Lonchura striata: one gene and its partner. The protein of the gene in region 1 interacts with the protein of each later gene in a biochemical or structural test. Links are inferred from orthologs where the notes say so. Each region holds a gene or a part of one and is shown on either strand. Other genes may lie near its edges.

What was found. The genes of interacting proteins can lie anywhere in the genome.
Region 2: the proteins of PPFIA1 (region 1) and GIT1 form a complex in vitro, tested with the Homo sapiens proteins (2 studies listed by BioGRID). The link is inferred for Lonchura striata from reciprocal best matches to the Homo sapiens genes PPFIA1 and GIT1.

Annotation. Positions count from the first base shown.
Region 1 is NC_134608.1:54,938,698-54,949,231, forward strand, and holds the start of PPFIA1 (liprin-alpha-1), read right to left. Parts: upstream 4,478-10,534; 5' UTR 3,711-4,477; intron 2,629-3,710; coding exon 2,365-2,628; intron 1-2,364. UniProt on the Homo sapiens protein: May regulate the disassembly of focal adhesions. May localize receptor-like tyrosine phosphatases type 2A at specific sites on the plasma membrane, possibly regulating their interaction with the extracellular environment and their association with substrates.
Region 2 is NC_134622.1:7,765,900-7,776,193, reverse strand, and holds the start of GIT1 (ARF GTPase-activating protein GIT1), read left to right. Parts: upstream 1-6,414; 5' UTR 6,415-6,468; coding exon 6,469-6,520; intron 6,521-9,379; coding exon 9,380-9,513; intron 9,514-9,597; coding exon 9,598-9,710; intron 9,711-9,793; coding exon 9,794-9,899; intron 9,900-9,974; coding exon 9,975-10,061; intron 10,062-10,170; coding exon 10,171-10,294. UniProt on the Homo sapiens protein: GTPase-activating protein for ADP ribosylation factor family members, including ARF1.

The sequences.
Region 1 (10,534 bases):
GCACAGGGATGTCATCAGAAATTGACTTTGTAGCAAAACCAGAAGATGCATTTTGGTATAGAAGAAATCAATCTGGCATTCCTGCTGTTAGACCAGGACTTCCCATCAGTCATCAGAACAGTCTAAAACTGGCTGGTTCACCTAAAGATCTAAAACAGGAAAAGTACACATAGAAACAATTCAATTCAATACCTGTTAAGATAAAGAGGTCTAAAATCAACTACAAAGACTTGTTACAAGCAAAGTCTGAGAAAGAAATAATACTTTGGTTACAGAGTGATTTAGCAACTAATGAAATTACACAGGTCTTTGTACAATTAGTTAAATTGACCTTGCAGGTCTACTAAATTGAAAACAACTACTATGATAAAAAAAATTAAAATTTACACTACTATTCATTCTTTGCTGAAAAAATATAACACAGCTGTTATTTTATTAAATTTAAAGACTTTACCCTCCTTGAAATACACAGCTAAACAACTGGTCATTTGAGGCAGTAGTTCAAAAGAATGCTCAGCTTGAAATAATTAACAAGAAAGTTTGAATAGTTTCAAATATTAGTCACTACAAAGTTTTGACAGTGAACACATATTAGAATTTTTTTTAAAAATTGTTTCACCCCATCAAAAATTTGCACCCATGAAGTAACTGACTCTACCATAACAACAACAAAAACTGCCCAAATCAGAGGTTACTTCTGATGTATCAAGAGTAATGAAAATATTTCTGATTTTTGAAACCACAATAATGTGAGCTAAGTATCACTAGGGACAAACGCAGATGTTCCACAGGATGAAAAGAGTATTTTCCAACAACAATCTACAAAAATCCATACACTGCTGTATTTTTACATAAAATTGCAGTAAAATTTCTCTCTCAACTGACTTGCTTTTCCAACAGATTTCACATGAAACCATGCAATTATGGCATTTTTGAAAAGGGGAACTGTTTATTAATTTTCCAGAAATGTTTAGAAAGTGATGGTTACATGCAAGTAGCCAACTATATTTAGGAAGGAAAGCTGAGAACTGAAAAGGCAAAAGGGGAACAGCAGAGCTGAGAGCTGGGATGATTCTGCTCAGCACAAACTCAGGTCTAACAGTCTGCAGGTCATGTAAGTGGTTAATGGCCTTCATTAATGTAGCACACCTGACACAGAGGATAAAAAGCTACGATTATTAGAACAAAAAAAACCAAAGAATTACGTTTGCCTGCAGCACGTGATTTAACACAGGCAGTAGCGAAGGTTCAAAACTTCTCCTTTCTGATTTTCATCATTGTAACAGAACTAGATTAACACATTTCATTTCCATCCATCAGTAATTACCAGCACCAATTACCATACCAAGGATCATACAGTGATTACATTATAATGAGAGCAGTGAAACAAACCACTGTTTGAAAGGGTATAAACAGTAACTACAATATTTAAGGATATGGGAACATTTGTAAAAGTCATAGCACCATTGTGCCACATTTGGGACAGCAACCACCACACCAGAAAGACCAAGGCTGTCAACAGTTAACCAACACCTCAAAGCAACCCCTGCTTTGCCTACAGCCAAAGGCTTCTCAATATGTTCAAAGTCCAGTTTTATTTTTAACTCAAATGGATAAAACCCAAAGAGTTCTGCAGAGACCAATCACCTTTCCTAACAATGCTCCTTACGTAACAAACCTAGCACTGCAGGCCACGTGCATTCTCCACAAGGCACTAATTAGGAGCTCCTAACAGGACGAAAAAAAAAAAAAAAAGCCAAATCCAAACTTTTCAAAAGTAACTAAACAGGTTAAACAACACACTCAGACTTCTATATTGCCATGACAACTCAGCATGCATTCACAAGGCAGTAGCCTTCAAGGTTTTAAATCAAAGTCTTTAATAGAGTCAAAATGGTCTGTATGGAATTCATAGAATCCCAGAATGGGATTGGAAGGAACCTTAAAGACCATCCAGTTCCAAACCCCTGCTGTGGGCAGGGACACCTCCCACTAGACCAGGTAATAATTCTTAAGTACCTTAATGAATCAGGCAATTAAGAAATAGCATTTAAAAAGTACTAGTTGCAGAAAAAGGTCCATCAAGTTCTATTAGACAAAAGATGTAGACACCATTCTACGTTTATGCTAAGGAAATTCCAGAAACTGGGAAAGCAGACTGGAGAGAAAGGGCTGTTCTTCCCTGCTTTCCTTGCTTTTGCATCTTTCTCAAAGTGAGCAAACACCAAAAAATCCTTCAGGATAGATTCATCTTCCCCTAAGACAACCTAACTCTTCAGTAAACCAAACTACAGAAAGCCAACAGCACACCACGAAGAACACAAAAATCATTGAAAAACCCCTTGCCTTCCCAAACGTCCATACCTGTGGAAGTGCAGTATTGAGCTGCCTCTGCAAGGAATCCCTCTCATGGCCAACCTCATGCAGCTTGCCCTGGGTGAGCGCGAGCGTCTCCTGAGTTTCGCGGAGCGTTTCCAGCAGGCGATCCCTCTCTTCCAGCATGGACACCATTAACTGCTCAAAGTGGGAATCAGCATCTGACTGCAACGGGGAACCTGAACCGTGGCCTCCATTTCCCCCGGTGGGAATCTCGGCCTCACTGATGGTTGGCATCACCTCACACATCATCTTGAAACAAAAACGAGACACAACAAAGGCCAGAAATCTCGGTCAAACAAATCTAAACAGGAACTTTGAGTGCTGCCCGTAGTACCCACTTAGCTCTCCCCACGATAGCATCAGCAAAGGCTGCCAACACCTTGGCGTTTGCCACTATTTCATTAAGAGTGGAGAAAAGGTACACAGTCAACTTAATCAAGGCTTTGCTTCATAATGAGAATCTTGTGACTTCTTGCAAAACCAGATTTTTGCATCTATGTCTCAAACTGTGACTTCATTTTAACGGATTTATGCTTTTTTGAGGAGTAAACTGCTGCCGAGGTCTTTAAAAAAAAAAAAAAAGATAAGGCATGCAGCCTGACACCAAAAATTATACACTTCACCCAGCAAACTATTACACTGCACATTTTGGGAAACATTATCTGCTTCTTCCACTGCTTCAAATGTACAAAGATTGTATCTACAACAGTACTTTGAGCGTATGTTGACTGTGGAAGTTTTATGATGGTGAAAGTAATGTATGGTAAATGAGTAGTAAATGAAAATGGTCCAATTCGGGAGATAAAAACATGTAAAGGAAGATAAAAATTCATTATGGAGTAGTAGCAGCTGTCAATGCGGACAGCAAAAGTAAAGGTAAGCAAAAATAATTAAAGGTAGAGGATGAATACAGTTAACAATGCAAATAGGAGGAGTGCACTACTGGAAGTGAGCACACAACTGGGAGCACCTTTGAGAGACCTTAACAGATCCCTACCAGAGCTAAGGCATTAAGGCTTTAAAAACCATGGAAAAAACCCACTCGTAAATCACTGAACCAACAACACAGTTCTTCAGGCAATCTCTCTCAAAAGCACAAATCTACAAGAACTTAAGCAAAAATCAAGAAAAGCAGCTCCCGAAACCTCTCAGGTACCACAAACTTTGCTCTCAGCCTTATATTTTACACTCACATCTGAAAAACAATCCATTCTGATTCTTACTGTCGGTCCTCTCAATACTTTGAAAGACTAGGAACAATCTGAAGTGCTTTGCAACATTTTCATGCATGATTACAATAAGCCCTGAACTTTCACCACTACGTTATTTACCTTGCTCAACAAAACGAAAAGGCTGTGAAAACAGGCCCCAGGTTTCCTGCAGCACCAGGTCTTCTTCTCTGTTTTAGCAGTTTTCTGTTATCCCCCAAAACCCTTTGGATTGCAAAGCACCCATCCAGCTCCAGTCCAGTAACTGTTTAATCGAAACACATGAAAAAAAAGAATAAACCTGCCGAGAAAAGAGCAGATCCGGTAAAAAGCAGCAGCTTCAGCTAACTCGCCAAGTCCCCAGTACAGAAGAATGTGAAAATAAACTGTCTCAGCTTCCCATCCCTCTATTACTGGCCCATAGGCCCTGCAACAGCTGGGATGGAGGAATCATGTGCTGACAAAAAAAGAAAAAATGTCCGATGCAGAGATGCAACAAGCTTCAACAGTTCATCGCTCATAAATTCCACTCAGGTCACAATCGCGTTACTAAACAGAGTACGGACAGCAGGGGAAAACAGCACGAGCTTTCGTGTAGAGGATTTGGAAAAGCCTCCCTTCTTTTCTCTTCTATTAATTCCAACGGGAAGCTCTCCTTCCAGTTCCCTGCGTCTTAGTTCAAACATTTATAATCCCGAGAGCAAGGCGCTGGCGTCCTTAGGAAGGCGAGCAGGGAGCGAGACCTGTTGTTTCCTCGGCACTAGTCCCACAGACGATGCTCCGCAACCGAGAGCGGGCAAAGAAAGCAGCCGGCAGCTCCGGGGGCACCGGCCCGGTGCCGCCGCTCCCCGTGCCCGCGGAGGGCCGGCTAGCAAAGCCGCGGGCGCAGGACGCCGGGCTCTCCCGCTGCCCCCGCCCGTCTCGGGGAGCACCGGGCCGGGCCTCGCTCCTCGCCTCGCTCGCTCCTCGCCGGAGGCCCCAGCGGCGCCGGGAGCGCGGCCGGCCCGGGCCCCGCGCAGCCCCTGCGGAGCGAGCCCGGCCGCGGAGGCCCCGGCGAGCCCGCCCTCGCTCCGGCCCCTACCGAGAGGCGGGGGCTCCGCCGCGCCGGGACGGTCCCCTCGGCCCGGGCCCGGCTCCGCCCGCCGCCGCCTCCACGTCCGTGGTGGCCGGCGCGGGGTCGGCTGAGGCCAGGTGGGTGGTGCCGGCCGCCCGCGGCGCCGCCGCGGCCTCAGGGGGCGGCAGAAGCGCTGCGCGCCCGGAGAGCCGCGATCGCCGCCGCGGCCCCGCCGGTCCCGGCCCCGCCGCGCCGCCGCCTCCTCCCGCCGCTCCCGGCGCGCTCCGCGGCCCCGCATAAATCAGCGCGGCGCCCACAATGCACCGCGCGGGGCGGCGCGGCCGCCGCTGCCCCGCTCCCGCCGCTGGGGACGGGGGTTCGAGACCCGCTCGGCGCTGCCCGCCCCGGGAGCGATACCGCCGCCGCCCACGGGAAAGCCGCAGCGGAGCCCCGGGGCAGGAGGCGAGCTCGGGCTGGGAACAGGGCAAGGCCGGAGTGGCCCCGCAGTCGCAGCGCCTCGCCCGGCCCCGCTGGCCCAAGCTGCTCCTGCGAGCCCAGGGGCTGGGACCGGCTCCGGGGAGCTCGGGCCGAAGCCATTGAGGGGCTGAGCGGGTCCAGAGGAGGGAATGGACCTGGGAAGGGTGTGAAGCACCAGCAGAGGCTGCGGGAGCTGGGGGCTCAGCCTGGACAAGAGCAGGGGATACAAGAGGACATTGACTTGAGCTGCCAGGATGGACATTAGGAAGACTTTCTTCACGCGAAGGGTGATCAGACATTGGAATGTGCTCCCAGGCAGGTGCTGGAGTCACCATCCCTGGAGGCGTCTAACGAAAGACTGGATGTAGCACTCACTGCCATGTCCTGGTTGACACCGTGGTGTTTGGTCATCGACTGGACTCAATGACCCCAGAGGTCTTTTCCAAGCTAATCCATTCTGTGATTCTGTGGAGCAGAGCTGCCAGGTCCTCGCACAGTGAAGAACAACTTCTCTGACTAGCCTGTTCCCCACAGGAAACTGGGTTTGGCTATGTTGACTATTATTTTTCCAAAACACCATAGAAATGTTTTCCCACTTGGATTTCTATAGCTTTTACTCTCTTCGTGGAGCCTTCACCATGCCCATGAGTTGAAAGTTGAAGTCTGCCAGGCAAAGCTTAGAAAACTCTCTTTCCTCTCTTCGCATTTGTGCTACCACCCTGAATAAAGTATTTGCATTTTGACCCTGTTGTTCCTTTTACAGTCGAAAGCTCTAAAAGGCATCAAGGGCCAGTTAGGCAGACAGAGGCAAGTCATGCCAAAAAGCAGCAGTCGCTGCACAGAAGGTTTTGCAGATTTGTGGCTGGATTATGTGAATTTATTTTTAAACACAACATCTCGACACCTAGCACTGGATAGAAAGGATCGCTAATGAGTCAATCTTCCTTTTCCACACACAAAATTCTTTACACATTTATTACACTGTGCTCTTTCCCTTTGGTATTTGAGCCTTTAGAGTGAATTCAAGTCACATTTTTTAAGTTTTCCCTGTACAGCCATGAGGTCTAGATTACATTTTTGTTTTTCCTCCTGAAGTTTCTAATGTAATCCCATGACTCTGGGAACTGGAACTTTGAGGAAAAAGCCAAATATGATGAGGGACATTCAAATAATGAATTCTGCTGAATATAGATCAGATTTAACACTGAATGTCTGAATAACTGAGGTCTGACTTTTCAATGTAGGAAGAATAGCAAAAAGATTCCAAAGTGAATTGTTATGAATTAATCTGTACATAGGTAAATGCTTTTATTTATAAGCTTTGATCCAGATTTTCAGTGGATGAAAAAGACTTCAGGCTAAGCAGCTGCCAAGGCAGCATCCTCAAGATAACCTGCTCCAGCAATACCAAAACAAGGCTGGAAAATAAAGTGGAGTTCATGGCTGTGTGAACAAATACCATTCCACTTCAGCTCGTCACACATAAAAAATGAAAATTAATAATGTTAGTAGAAAGACTGTTTTGGCCTGATTTGACGAGTCAAATGGAGACTTTGTGGATGAAAGGGCAAAAGGTTAAAGACTGTAACGGGCACAGAGTTGATAATCTCTCCCAAACTGGACACTGCAATATATCCAGTCGGATTAACTGATCTAGGAGCCAGGTCATGTGGAATAAATTAATGAACCTCTGTATTCATGTAGATCCTCAAACATGGAGTAACATTTTCTCTCAGTCTGGGTTGCCTTAGAACCCAGTGTCTTTTTCTTTTGAAACTAAGTTTTGTTTAGTCCTTAAGTGGTTAAAACCAAAAAATGAATATTTTCACCATTCTGTAATCCTACTTCATTATGAAAACAAAGAATCTAGGACACAATCCTGAATTAAGAATAAAAATGGATGAATTCTGTATATTAATTTTCACTTCACCCAGTTTGTTAACAAGGCACACTCACATTCAGCTTGCTCAGCTCTTCACATCTGTGGTTGGATTTCCCATCTAAGAGGCAGGAGGTTTTAGCTGCAGACCCTCCTCAGCCTCAAGGAGTTGTCACCTTTATCTCTGTTACCTTCAAATCACTCTGTACACAAGTTTCAGAGGAGGGTGGAAGTGCCAGTGTTTAGGCACTTTCTTGAGAAATCGGTTTCAGCCTCAGGTGGGAACAGAGTTCCCACAGCATATAAATGTCTGCTACATGAGAAGGAGGCGCTGTATTCATGCCCAAAAGGATGGCCTAGTCCAGGAGGGAACCTACATCCAGAATATCCTAGCTAAGGAATATGCTCCCATGTGGAATACTGCAAATACCTTCCTTAGGCAACAGGCTCTATGAATGCCACACAGAGCCCAGACTGTGGATCCAGCAGAGATTCTGAGGTGCCCCAAAAATATTTGAAAGGCCTGACTTTAAAGCCAATTGCTACTCCCATGTGCAGTCCACCAAAGCCGGGACCACATCAGCGGGGAAGGCCAGGACTTGAAATTCTAGAGAAAAAAATTGAATAACCAGATCTTTGCATAATGCTCTGTGCTGCACGAAATACACATGGAATGATTAAGTCAGAACTCCCAGGCTCTGCAAATACTAAAATATTTCTCAGTCCTATTTACTTTGTAGTACAAGGAAAACATTTTTTTTTTTTTTTTTTTTTTTCATTTCTCCTGGGCATGTAACCCAGGATATACCATCTAACATGAAGAACACCAGCAACTCAGATCTTTTTAATTAAATGAGTGTGATGTCTCTTTTGTAAGTTCAGCAAGAGGTCTGGCTCCCTGTTCATGTAATTTAGTGAGACGTAACACTTGTGGATGTGTCTGGAAAGAGCCCCACATACATCAGTTGACAGCAAAGTAATCAGTCCAGAGACCCAGGTTAAATCTCCACTCTTTGCACCTCAAAAACCACACGCTGAAATTCAAACAAAGACTGTTAAAAAAAAAAAAAAAAAAAAAAAAAAGGGTTGGGAGAAAGGGAAAGGTTTCCTTTATTGTCACATGATAAATTAGATCCTAATGTTTACCCAAGCTCAGCAAAGCAGGCAGCTCTTCCTGCCAGCCCGTGCCGGGTGAGGTGTGGGGTCGGGCCGGAGCTGCCCTGCCCGCGGGCTCTGAGGACAAACACCTGCTGCTCTCCGCTGACGGCTTCGCGCTTCATTTATGCCGAAATTTCCTTTGCGAGCCTCAGAGCCACCCCACGCTAGCACAAAACCTCTGCTGAAAATAGCCCAAGATCGCCTAGACAGTTGTTGGTTATTTTTTTCCCCCTCCCGAGTCGAGCTGATGGTATCTTATTTGCTCCTTGTCCTTTACAGATGACTTAATGACTTAGCAGCAAAGTGAATTTTGAACACATTTCAGGCATTTCATACCAAAATGGATAGATGTAAGAACAGGATTTTTGCCAGCAGCGCTGATTATCCTTTTGTCAGTAGATAGATGTGACCTGGACCATTCTGTTGCCATTAAAAAAGTCTCTAGAGGTTGCTACACAGAGGAGACACTTTGCCTGAGGGAGAAGGAATAAGAGGGAAGAGGCTGGAAGGTGGCCTGTGAAGAAGAGGACAGAGGTAATTAATGGTTATGCCCATGTATAAAGCTAAGTGCACCAGTAAATGTGTCAGCCCTTGGGCAATGGAAGCCACGACTTCTACAAACCTCAACACAGCACAGTCCTTTATATTGACATTTTATTTATATCATGTGGGTCTACACGGATCTGTGCCAGATCCAGGCAGGTGTAAATCAAATGGGAATTGGCTGCTCTGAAACTGAAGAGGGTTTTTGAATTGATCTTAAGATGAAAAGTCCCTATAAAGCCCCTGGAGACCTGGAGAGGACTCTTAAAAGACCAGATGAACTTACACAATTTATTTTAGTGGGAATCATACCTATGTCAAGACTGTAAATGTTTTTCAAATTTAGCTGTCACTCCTGCAACCAAAACCACACATTCTCACTCAAGTACAAACCTGCTGAGCTCGAAAAGGCTTTCAACTTAGTTTCAGCTTCAGTTATGCAATTTGCAGTTCAGAATTATTGCACCTGCTGTCTTTTCTGTATGGATTTACAGCAGTAGAAATCCCCTTGAGCTAGAAAGAACTTCTAAAGCCAAGTATCATTTATTTCAATCAGAAATTAAATACACCCCTAATATCCAATTCGAACATAGTACATTCCCTCAGTGTAGTCTGATTTCAGCATGTCTTCAGATAGTTTATAGCTATAATGAAAGGTATTGAGCTAAAAGTATATTCAGTTGCATGTTCAGGGCAATAGAGCTGCACATTATTTCGTTAAACATTTTTTAAAAGGTAATATTTTTCAGAAAGGCCATATTCGTGTAGCTGCAAATAATATTGGAAGAAGAAACTGAAGGATTCAGAACCAGCTGTGATAATACAGCTCCTGTGTAACTAGAGCAGGTCTGGATACATTCCACCTGGCTGACCACCTACAGTATGAACCCATTTACCCTGGCTTGCCTCTGTAATCAGTGGAGTGAGAGAGCCACTCCATGGGAGGAGTGATTCAGACCTTTGGTGTGGTCCATGAATCACCTGCTACAGGTGCCTATCTGTTCCCATTGGCTCCAGAGGGAGCCCAGGGCAGCTGGACTCTTGCCGTGGGAGCTGTGCTTGGATGTCTCAAGCAGCATGAGATGAATCTGGGTGTTGAATACGTGTGGGATCAGCATGGCTTGTTGCAGTAGGAAAGCAAGGGAAATGGATGTGGTTGTCCACAGAAATGAGCAGGGCTGTTCCTGGCTTCATTGCTGCGTATTTAGCAGCCCACAGTTTGTCTGTCTCAGTAATTTTAACTGGTCTGCAATTCAATGACTATATTTGCAAGACTGAAGCCTAGAGCTTCAGAGCCATGGCATCCTCTCAGGGTAGAGAATCACAGAAATACAGAATGGTTTGGGTCAGAAGGTACCTTAAAGACGATCCAGTTCCAACCCCCTGCCATGGGCAGGGATACCTTCCACTATCCCAGGCTGCTCCAAGCCCTGTCCAGCCTGGTCTTGAACACCTCCAGGGGTGGGGAGTCCATAACACCTCTGAGCAACCCATGCCAGTGCCTTATCACCCTCTTAGCAAAGAATTTATTTCTTATATATAACCTAAACCCGCCCTCTTGCAGCTTAAGGCCATTCCCCCTTGTCACTCCATGCCCTTGTCCAAAGTCCCTCTCCATCTCCCTTGTAGGCCTTTTAGGTACTGCAAGGGACTCTAAGGTCTCCCCAGAGCCTTTTCTTCTCCAGGATGAGCAGTCCCAAATCCCTCATCCTATCTTCATTCCAAGAGAAAATAATGCTGTTATTTTTATTCCAAACCCCCTGTTGACAGGTTGATCACAGAGTGAAGTCTACAGACACTGACCTCCTCTCCTCTCCTCTCCTCTCCTCTCCTCTC
Region 2 (10,294 bases), on another chromosome or scaffold:
GGGGCCGTCAGCCGCCCCATCACCTGCTCCTCGGTGGGCTGCACAGCAGCCAGCAGCACCTCCTGGTCGTGGCCGGCCAGGGCCAGCGTCTCCGAGTAGACCACCCGCCTGTCATGGTCAATCTCCATCACCACCGCACTGCTGTCTGCAGGGAATGGGGGCAGGACAACCACGGTCCCCACCGTGTCACCCGGCACCACTCCCCAGTGAGGGGCACGTGGCGGTGTCCCCTCACCTTGTCCCCGAAAGACGAAGCTGCGGTTGCCCCGCTGCCAGGTCATATGGTCGAAGCCCAGCAGTGTGGTGTCCACCCGCAGGTTCTGGCCGCTCTTCCACACCTTGTAGGTGTCGCTGGGGCAGATTTTGGACACCAGGGGCACTGGGGAGAGATGCCGATAGCCCAGCCGGGGATGGGGACACCTGCAGCCCTGAGGGGGCTGCCAGCACTGAGCTGGGTGGGGGATGCACCTGGGGAACGCGATGCCTTGGCAGGATGGGGGTCTGCAAGCTTGGGGTGTCAGGGGGCAAGGGAGCAGGTGACCCTCAGCCTCGGGATGGGGATGGATGCTGGGGCTGGAGGATTTCACTGGGAAATTCCCACTCCCCCCACAGCCATGCTGTGCCCCGAGCTCACCCCAGCTGGTGAACTCCCACTTCATCTCCACGTAGAAGTCCTGGGCCTGTGGGGAGCGCAGAGGGGTCAGGGGGACGCCGTGGCCGCGGCCCCGCCGCCCTGCCGAGGGAGGTACCTTGCGCAGCTTCTCCAGCAGGACAGGGATCCCCGCCAGGCGCTTGATGGCCCTCTGGTAGTCACGGTAGCGCAGGACCAGCTGCACCAGCTCCAGGTCACGGGTGCTCACAGCCTCCTGCAGGACTGTGGGGCAAAGGGGCAGTGTCCAGGGCCGTGGCACAGCATGGCACAGCATGGCACTGCAGAGCTGGGCGCTGCACAGGAGCACCACAGCAGCAGCGCCCTGGGGAGCTGCAGCACCATGGCCATGCCTGTGCCCATGTTCATGCCCATGTCCATGTCCACATCTGTGTCCATGCTCATGCCCACGCCCATCTCCATGCCCACGCCTGCATCGGGGCAGCTTGAAGGAGGATGGAGGGCAGCAGCCACCCGCTCACCTGTCCATCCGCTGCGGTTCTCCTTGCCCACGTCGGCGCCATGCTTCAGCAGCACTCTGGCACACTCGAGGTGGCCCAGCGTGGTGGCCAGGTGCAGGGGAGTGCGTCCTCGGGGGTCCAGCTGCTCGATGTCGGCCTGCCAGGAAGGAATGAGGCTTTGAGATCACTGGGGTGGCCAGACCTTCCTCCTCAGTGCTCTCCCACAGATGTACAGCTCCCAGACACAGAAAGCAGCCAACATTTGACAGTATAGGAGAGCAGCCCCACCCTGACCTCTCCCAAGAGAGGTACCTCCCTGCTGCCACTGCCAGACCCATGGAGAGAGCATGAAAAGCACAACGGTGGCTGCCAGCACCCAGCACACCTCATCACAGCCAGTCTGGGCTGCACCCACCAGGAGGGCACAGAGCAGGAGCACGCCATGGCAGTGGGGGGCACAGATGCCCCTGGCACAGTGCACGCAGCTCTGCACATTTCCATGCAGCTGCACGCTCCAGCAAAGCCCCCACCTCTGGGATGTGGAGGGGGCTGTGCCCAGTTGCCAGGCAGCAGCTGCCGGCAGCCCCCTCCGGCAGGGCGGGAGCGCGGGGGGCGATGCGGCTGCGGTGGGCGCACGTGTTCCCCTGCCTGAGCCGGGGGCGGGCGGCTCCGAGGATCCCCGGGGCCCTGGGGAGCCGCCGCTGTTTGTGCCAAACCCGGAGCCTGGCACCCAGCCAGCCCTGAGGAATCCCTGGTGCGGCGGCGGGTGGGCACCCCGGCACCCCCGGGCCCTGCTGCCCATGTGGGAAGCAGCGTCACACCCATGCCCAGCTGGGGATATGGCTCAGGAAGGGTGGGCACCCTCTGTGCCCCCAGCAGCAAGCTGGAGTAGAAGTGCCCAGAGCCACGGCAGGAGGTAGTGGGGCAGTGCCCAAATAATTGGTTTTGGGGAGGCCACCCACAGGAGAACAAAGGTGGGGTGCAGGACCCATAGGTGCCAGCTGGGACCAGGAAGGCAGAGATGTTTGGACATGGGCAGAGGTGGAGCACGGGCTCCCTGGTACCCCAAAGTCTCACCTGCAGCACATCCCTGCCTTGCTCTGGGCATGTCCTGCATTGCTGCTGCTCAGGGATGTTCCTGTCCCTGCCCAGGCTGTGCATTCCCGTGTCCCTCATCCCCAGGGACTCACCAGGTAGGGGGACCCCCCCAGTCTGCCCACACCACTGGAGTAAAACAGCCCCCCAGTTCCCTGGGAGGCAACGTATCGCTCCAATGCTCTCCAGGCGACTGCTGCTTCTTAATTGCACTAATGAAACTGCTCTAATTAAGGCAATCACCCCCCAGCTGTGGGCGGGGGCAGCAGGCTCAGTGGGGCTCCCCAGCTGCCGCCCTGCCCCAGCACTGGGCAGGATGAGGGTCCCCAGTGTGGGGACACGGTGCTGGAGCCACCCCAGGGGACATTGGCGTGACCCAGATTTTGCCAGCAAGAGCTCAGTTCTGAGCCCTGCTCTTGGGCTGGCTCCAGCTTGGGGAACACAGCACAGACCTCCAGGTGCTGCCCATCCTGGGGCCGTGACAGCCACCGGGGATGAGGACAGGGAGGGGTGGCTTTGGGGTGGCAGCGGTGCAGTGCAGAACCGCAGCTCAGTCGCTCCTCCTGTGCCAGCCGGGCACGTGGCACAGCACGTTCCTCCACTGGGGCTGTTCCTGGGTTGGAGAACCCCAGCTCCTGCTCCTGGGCAGCAACAGGGGACACGAGCCAGCACGCAGAGATGGTGCCAGGCACTGGTGTCCCCGTTCAGCCCCGGGTCCCTGTCACGCCTGAGGGGGCAGGCTGTGGTGAGGGGTGTCCTGGCACAACAGGCTCCATGGCACTGCCTGCCACATCCTCGTGATGTCCCTGTCAAGGGGACCCACTGACCCTTGCTCCCTTGTTGAGGCAAGTGTGGATGGGAGCCCATGGTGACAATTTGGGGGTGACAGACATAGAACCCTTATGAGGACAAGGAAAGGAACAATGCTGTCAGCTGCCCCAGTGCTTCCCAACCCCAAACACCTGCACTGGGGAGGGGCAGCACGTGGAGCCACTGCCCTGTGGGGGTCACCAGGACAGAGGAAGGGAAGAGCCCTGGGTAGGGGGGCACCCAGCCTCCAGCATTTCACACAGCATCAGCCCCAGCCCCTCACCCGGGGGATGCTCTGGCAGGGATAAGGGCTGAGCTGTGTCCCTGGATGCCCTGGACAGAGCAGGGAGCCTGGGCTGGCCCTCACCTCCTTCCCCCAAGCCCCCACCTGCCCCAGAGTCTGGCCTGCAGCACCCACGCTCCCCCCCTCCTCCCCCTCACCCCTGGGGTGCACACATGGCTGGCTTTGCTCTCACCCAGCAAATGCCAGCGGGGGCCAGGGCAGAGCCAGGCTGGAGGGTTGGATTCTCCCTGCAGCGAGCGGGTCAGAGCCCCCCCGCAGCCCCTCCACCTCCCCAGCTGCCGAGCCCAGCTTTGATCTCCGCCCGCGCTGAGCTCCCGGGAAGACTGACCCCAAATTAGCACGAAAATAAAAACACTGGCCATGGGGTGGGAGACCGGGGCGATGCTGGCGCAGCCTCCGGCTGGACCCCACAATAGAGACGGGTGTGGCGGGAGCCATCGCCTGCATCCCGGCGGGAGCTTCGCGGCACAATGACCCCCGTTTCACGCATCACCAGGGTCCATCCAGCACGGCCCTCGGTGCCTTGGGGTTTGGGAACCCGGGCCGAGAGACTGGGGATGCTCAGCACAGCTTCCCCGCCAGCCTCCCTCCAGCGCCTGCGGTTTCCTGCGTCTTCGGGGTTGGGTTTTAATTACCTGAATTGCATCGCCACGGGGGAGAGGGAGGCTGGGAACCCGCCGGGGAAGCACCCACACCCCGCTCCATCACCAGGCGGCTGGGAGGTTCCCTGGCTGAGGGACAAAGTGGGTCCCCTCACCATGAGGAGAACCCTTGTGGGGCTGGGGGGCTGCGCCCCGACAGCATCAGGGCCCTTGTCCCCCCGCCCCCAGGGGCTCAGCCTGAGGGTGCGGAGCTGATGCTGCACCCCCAGGGGGCTGGCAATACCCTGAGAAGCGGGGTGCGGGCCGGGGGTCTGCAGAGGCCTAGCAGGGAGCCGGGGACACGTGCGGAGGGCTGCTCGGGGCTGCGTGTGCTGGAGGATGCAGGGGACCCGCGGGTGGCACCCACCGCTCCCTGGCAGCCCCGGGGACAGCGGGCACAGTCCCGGGGTGCGGGTGGGGACACACAGCGCACCCCCAGAGCCCCGCCAGCGCAGAGAGCGACCCCATCCTTATCACCCCCCTCATCTCCATCCTCATCCTCACCCCGGCCCCGAGCATTGCATCAGCCCGAGCGGAGCCGGGCCGGGCCGGGCCGTGCCGGGAGTGTCCCCGCGCCGCCCCACCTGCTTGGCGCTGAGCTCCCGGTCCAGGTCACGGGCGCGGTTGTGCCAGACGAGGTAGTGCAGCGGGTACCTGCCCTCCGGCCCCTTCCTGCCCGAGCAAGACGCGAGCATCCTCCGTGCATGCTGGAGCGGCGCGGCGGGCGCGGCGCGGGGCGGCGCGGCGCGGGGCGGGGGGGCGCGGGGCGGGGCGGGCCACCACCTCCCGCCCGGTGCTTCCCCGGCCCCCCCGCACCGCCCGGCCTCATGGGACTTGTAGTTGCCCTGCCCGGCATCGCCCCCTTCTCCTTCCTCATCTTCATCCTCCTCTTTCCTCGCCCCCCCCTCCCGCACCGCTCAGTCCATCACCGCGGCTTCCGATCCCGCGGGGGGGACCTGCGAAGGGGCGCCCCATTGGCGATTAGCATCCTCCCCACATTGCCCCCTTTCCCAGGCTGATCTTCCCCTTCCCAGCTGATCTCCGCTCCCCCGGTGGGGCAGCGGACCCGGGCATATGGTGGGGCAGGGGTGAAGGCGGCAGGTGGGGACCAGGTGGGGGGACCCCGACTCCCGGCCCCGCAGCACCAGGCACGGGGGCCCCAGCCCCGTTTCCTTTTCCGCCCGCGTCTCTCCCGGGCGGGCGTCGCGTTTTCCGGCTGCCGCCCGAGAACAATGCAAGGCTGGGCCTCTGCGGCCGCCCCGGCCTCCGCCGGCGCCACGCTCCCGGCCCCGCACCCCGCTGCTCCCCACCCTGCCATGGGAGGAGCCCCCCGCTGTTGTTCTCTGCTCGGCCGTGGCGGTGGTCGCATCCCCCCGCCCCTGTCCCCGCACAGCATCCCCCGTCCCCGCTGCCCCATGATGTCGTGAGCAGCCCGCGGTGAGGCCACCCCGCCTGCCCCACGGCGGGGGGACACCATGCGACCCCGCTCCTGCTGGGGTCTGACCCCCCCGGCTGGCTGTGGGGCACCCATCGGTGTCCCCTCTGGTACCTAAAGGGTCGCAGGAGGGAGCAGACCCCATACAGTCCCCAGTCCTCCCCACCCACCCCCAAAATCCCCAGTGGAGCACCATAAAGGGGTGTGTGGCCCAACCCAGTGTCCTGGAGAAGGGGTGTGTCCGGGAGTGGGGTACACAGCGTCAGAGGTGGCATGGGGAAGAGGGCTGGGGCTGCCCCAGGACTGCGGCTGGATCCAGAACAAGTGTCCAGAGCAGGACTGCAGCAATTTGGGGGTGCCCTGGGCTGGGACTGGGGGTACACGGGACCCGGTACAGGAATGAGATCAGTGCCACCCCTCCAGGATAAACAGGACAAGGGCGGGGAGGAGGACCAGGACAAAATGAAAATGGGACCGGGAGTGCACCGAGGACGGGCACGGGGTCAGGGCTAGGGGATGCCCGGGATCAGAGCAAGGGCAGTGCTGACGCCCAGGAGCAGGTGAGGTGCCCCGGTCCGGGACCGGGCTGTCCGGGGGGCGTTTGCAGGTGCGGGTGCGGGTCGGGGGCGGCGCCGGTGCGGGTGTGTGCAGCGGTGCCGGTGTCCGCACGAATTCTTGTGCGCGTCCGGGTCCGTGTGCGGGGCGGGGGCGGTCCCGGTGCGTGTCCCGGTGCGGGGCGGTGCCGGCGCCGGTGCGGGTTCGGGTGCGGCTGCGAGTGCGGGGCGGTGCCGGTGCCGGTGCGGGGCGGCCGCGGCGGCGCTGCCGGTGGCGGGGCGGGGGCGGTGCGGCCCCTCCTCCGCCGGGGCCGGGCCTGCGCCGCTTCCTGCGGAGCCGCCGGGCGCTGGGAGCAGCCGGCAGCCCCCGGCCCCGCCGCCCGGGCCCCGCCGCCCCCTCCCCGCTGCCCGGCCCCCCCCACCCCTTCCCCGCCGCCGCTCCCCCGGCGGGCCCGGGGGCGCCGCCGCCGCCCCACGCTGGCGCAGAGGCCCGGGCCCGGGCCCGCCTCGCCGCTGAGGATGTCCCGGAAGGCGCCGCGGGCAGAGGTGTGCGCCGACTGCAGCGCCCCAGGTAAGGGCCCCCCCGCATCGGCACCGGCACGGCCCCGCCAGCCCCCCCGCGCCTCCTGCTGCCCCCCGGAGCCTGCCCTGCGCTCCCCCCGCGCCGCCGAGAGCCCCCGGGGCGGCCCCGCAGCCCCGCCAGCCCCCGCTGCACCCCGGGGTGCTTGCCCCCGGACTGCTCCCCGTGACCCCTTTTGCATCTCCTTCTACACCCCACATCGAGACCCCTTTGCACCTCCCTGAGTGCCCCCAGGGTCGCCCTGGTGATTCCTTTCTGCGCCCCACTCTGCGCACCCGAGGGAGCCCCATGGAGTCCCCCTCCTTCCCCCCAGGAGCCCTCTGATGTGCCCCCAGTGAAACGCTTTGATGAAACCCATGACCCCGTTGGTGCACCCCCTTTTAGCCTCCTGGAATGCCCGAATACACCCGAGACGCAGCCCCGATACCCCCGCATGCCCTCCTCCGTGCCGCTCCAGCGCGCCCCGTGTGCCCCACGCCCCCCTGCACCACCCACGGCGTTCTCACCCCAGCGCGGGGGCTGCTGGCACAGGCTGGGGGCGCGCCGGTCGGTGCCAGCAGCGCTGGTGACCCTGTAAATGGCAGGATGATGGGGGACACCCTGCACCCCACAGCCGGCACCCACCCCAGCCGGATCCGGGCTTGGCGGTGCCGGTTGGGTGAGCCCGGCGGCCGCCGCGCTGCAAGCCGGAGCCGAGCCTGGGCAAGACCATTCCCATCCCCGGCGGTGCCCGTGCCCACAGCCCCCACGCTGGGCACGCGCGGAGGGTTTGGCCCCCCAAACCCTGCCCACGGTAGGGCCGGACCCCAAACCTGCCCGTAGCCGGTGCAGGTGGCCCCACGGCAATGAATGAACGGGTCTCCGAGCCGGCCCCGGAAAGCTGCCCGCGGGCCAAGGCTGTGCCGAAATTATTCCGGCCACGTGCCAATGGCCGGATCCTGCCAGGAGAGCTGTCGGCACGCGTGGGCGAAAGGCTGCCCTGCCTCCTGGCATCCCCCGTGCCGGCGGGCGAGCGGGGGGCCAGGGGTTCCCGGGGCGGTGCCGGGGCTCCCTTCTGCGGCCAGGGGAAATGGAAACCAGTCTCTTCCAATCTCTTATCGCCTGGCAGCCATGGGAGGAAATGAGTTATAAAGTCCAGAGGCCGTTTCCTAGCGCGCTGGGAGCACCCGCTGTCGCTGCCGGGGATGCGCTGCCTGGCCCTGCGTGGGGAGGTGCCCGTGGGATGCGCTGGTCCCTGTGCCCGGCCTCCCTCGGCCCCACGCAGGGATGCCGGCTGGCCCCAGCCCTGCCATCGCCAGTGCGGGGCCGAGCGCTGGCGGTCCCGGTGCCAGCGCACATCCCGATGCGGGGATCGAGGTGCTGCGAGCTCCCTTGGACTCCAGGATCCTGCCAGGGTTTGGAGTGTCCCTGTGCGAGCACTCCACGATCTGCTGCAGTGCCCGCCCGCATCCCACCACATCCCAGCGGTTTTAGGGTGGGAGGGGCTGTTGCCCCAGGGATATTCTGGATCCACCCGCTTGGAGGGGCCGGCTCCCCCCGCACGGAGCGTCCTGTTCCCGGCGGTGGCCGTGGGCAGCGGGTGCGAAGGCGCAGATGCCGCCGCACCGGCTGCCAAGGCGCTGCCATCTGCGTGCGAGGGGCTGCCAGGCTGGGGGGGCCACCGCTCCCCCCGGGCCACCCCACCCCGGCCCCGGGGCACTGCAGCATGGCAGGATGCCGTGCCCCCCAGCACGGTGTCCTCAGGGCTCTGGGGGGGTGCGTGGGGAGGGGTCCGGGACCCTGCAGGGAGGAAGGAAGTGGGGGAGGCTTGGCTGCTTGCCTGCCTTCCTCTCTCTGTGAGGTCGTGGGGCCACTGGGGGCTCAGGGCCATCGGGCAGGTCAGTGTGGTCACCTCCCCAGGCCCTGTATCCCCGGGCGTGGGGCTGCCCCCCGCCGTGGGACAGTGTGGCGTTTGTGTAGGACCTACAGAAACGAGGGGATGGGGTGGGGCTGGGCAGAGGGTGGCAGGACTGCCCCGTCGTGCCTGGCGGAGGGGACACCTGGGAACGATTCAGCGATTCAGCATCCGTGCCTGGCTGCCTTTCCCGGGGGGGAGAGGGGCTGTGACCCAGCGGGGGTCCCCAAATCCTGTCCTCATGCTGCTGTGAACAGCTGCAGCTCAACGGCCACACCACGGGGCCAGGCCCCCTCGTCCCCAGGACCTGTTTTTGGGGTGCAGGCGTGGGGAGCCGCTGCCTGGCCGGGAGCGGTGCCCCCGCGGGTGCCGGGGCTGGTGCCAGCGCGGGGCCAGCGCGGCTGCTCAAACGATCCTTTGTTCCCAGCGGGGACACAAAGGGCTCCAGTCCAGCCGGCCGGGGCCAGCGGCGGGGCTGGAGGGGCACGGCAGCCTGGGGGGCCATGGCACCTGCCCCGGGGCTGGGGTGTCCTGTGGGCTGGCTGCGCTGCGGAGCTGAGGGTGCAGAGCTGGTGACCACCCTACCTAGGAGCCCATGGACTGGGGGTGCCCACCCCTTGTGGGACACACTGCCCCCATCCAGGACCCCCCAACACCCAGCCAGGGGCTCCGGGGGTGAGTGACCTCGCAGTGAGCCAGGGTGCCCCTGATCAGAGTGTGCTGGCATCATCCCTGCCACCAGCTGTCCTCCTGATGGTGGGGGGCCAAACCCTGCCCCCCTTTTGGCTGGCGGTTGCTATGGGAAACCCGTGGGTTTCCCCTGGTGATGGGCCGAGCCCCTCTCCATCTCCCGGGAAATGGTTGCTGTGGCAACGCATCCCCCCTGCTGGATGGATGCATGAGGAGGGGACCGCACGGGGAGGGGACACCCGCTGACACCCCCATGCCACCCCCAGACCCTGGCTGGGCGTCGATCAACCGCGGGGTGCTCATCTGCGACGAGTGCTGCAGCGTGCACCGCAGCCTGGGCCGCCACATCTCCATCGTCAAGCACCTGCGCCACAGCCCCTGGCCCGCCACCCTGCTCCAGGTGGGTGCTGGGGACACTGGAACGGGGGGAGATGCGCACTGGGACCCCCCCCCCCGCCCACTGGGCCCTGCCTGTCCCCTGCAGATGGTGCACACCTTGGCGAGCAACGGGGCCAACTCCATCTGGGAGCACTCGCTGCTGGATCCAGCGCAGGTGCAGAGCGGGCGCCGGAAGGCAAACCCCCAGGACAAAGTGCAGTAAGTGTCCCCTGTGCTGTGGGGAGGGGGTCAGCACTGGCTGCAAGCCCCCTCCTCACCCAAAACCCACTGCTCACACCCAGCCCCACCAAGTCGGAGTTCATCCGTGCCAAGTACCAGATGCTGGCCTTCGTCCACAAGCTGCCCTGCCGGGATGATGACGGTGTCACTGCCAAGGACCTCAGCAAGGTGGAGTGGCGGCTCAGGGACCCCCACTATGGCAGTGAGGACAGATCCCCCCATTACCAGCTCTCTCCTCTGCAGCAATTGCACTCGAGCGTGCGGACGGGTAACCTGGAGACCTGCTTGCGCCTGCTCTCGCTGGGTGCCCAGGCCAACTTCTTCCACCCGGTGAGCTCTGGTGGGGCCCAGGGACCCCAGAGGTGGAGTGGGGCCCAGGGGGGTCCTGGAGCCTCACGCCACGTGCAGGCTGCAGGGCTGAGGCTGCCCATGCCCGCAGGAGAAGGGCACCACACCGCTACACGTGGCCGCCAAGGCCGGGCAGATCCTGCAGGCAGAGCTGCTGGTGGTCTACGGTGCCGACCCTGGGGCGCCCGATGTGAACGGCCGGACGCCCATTGACT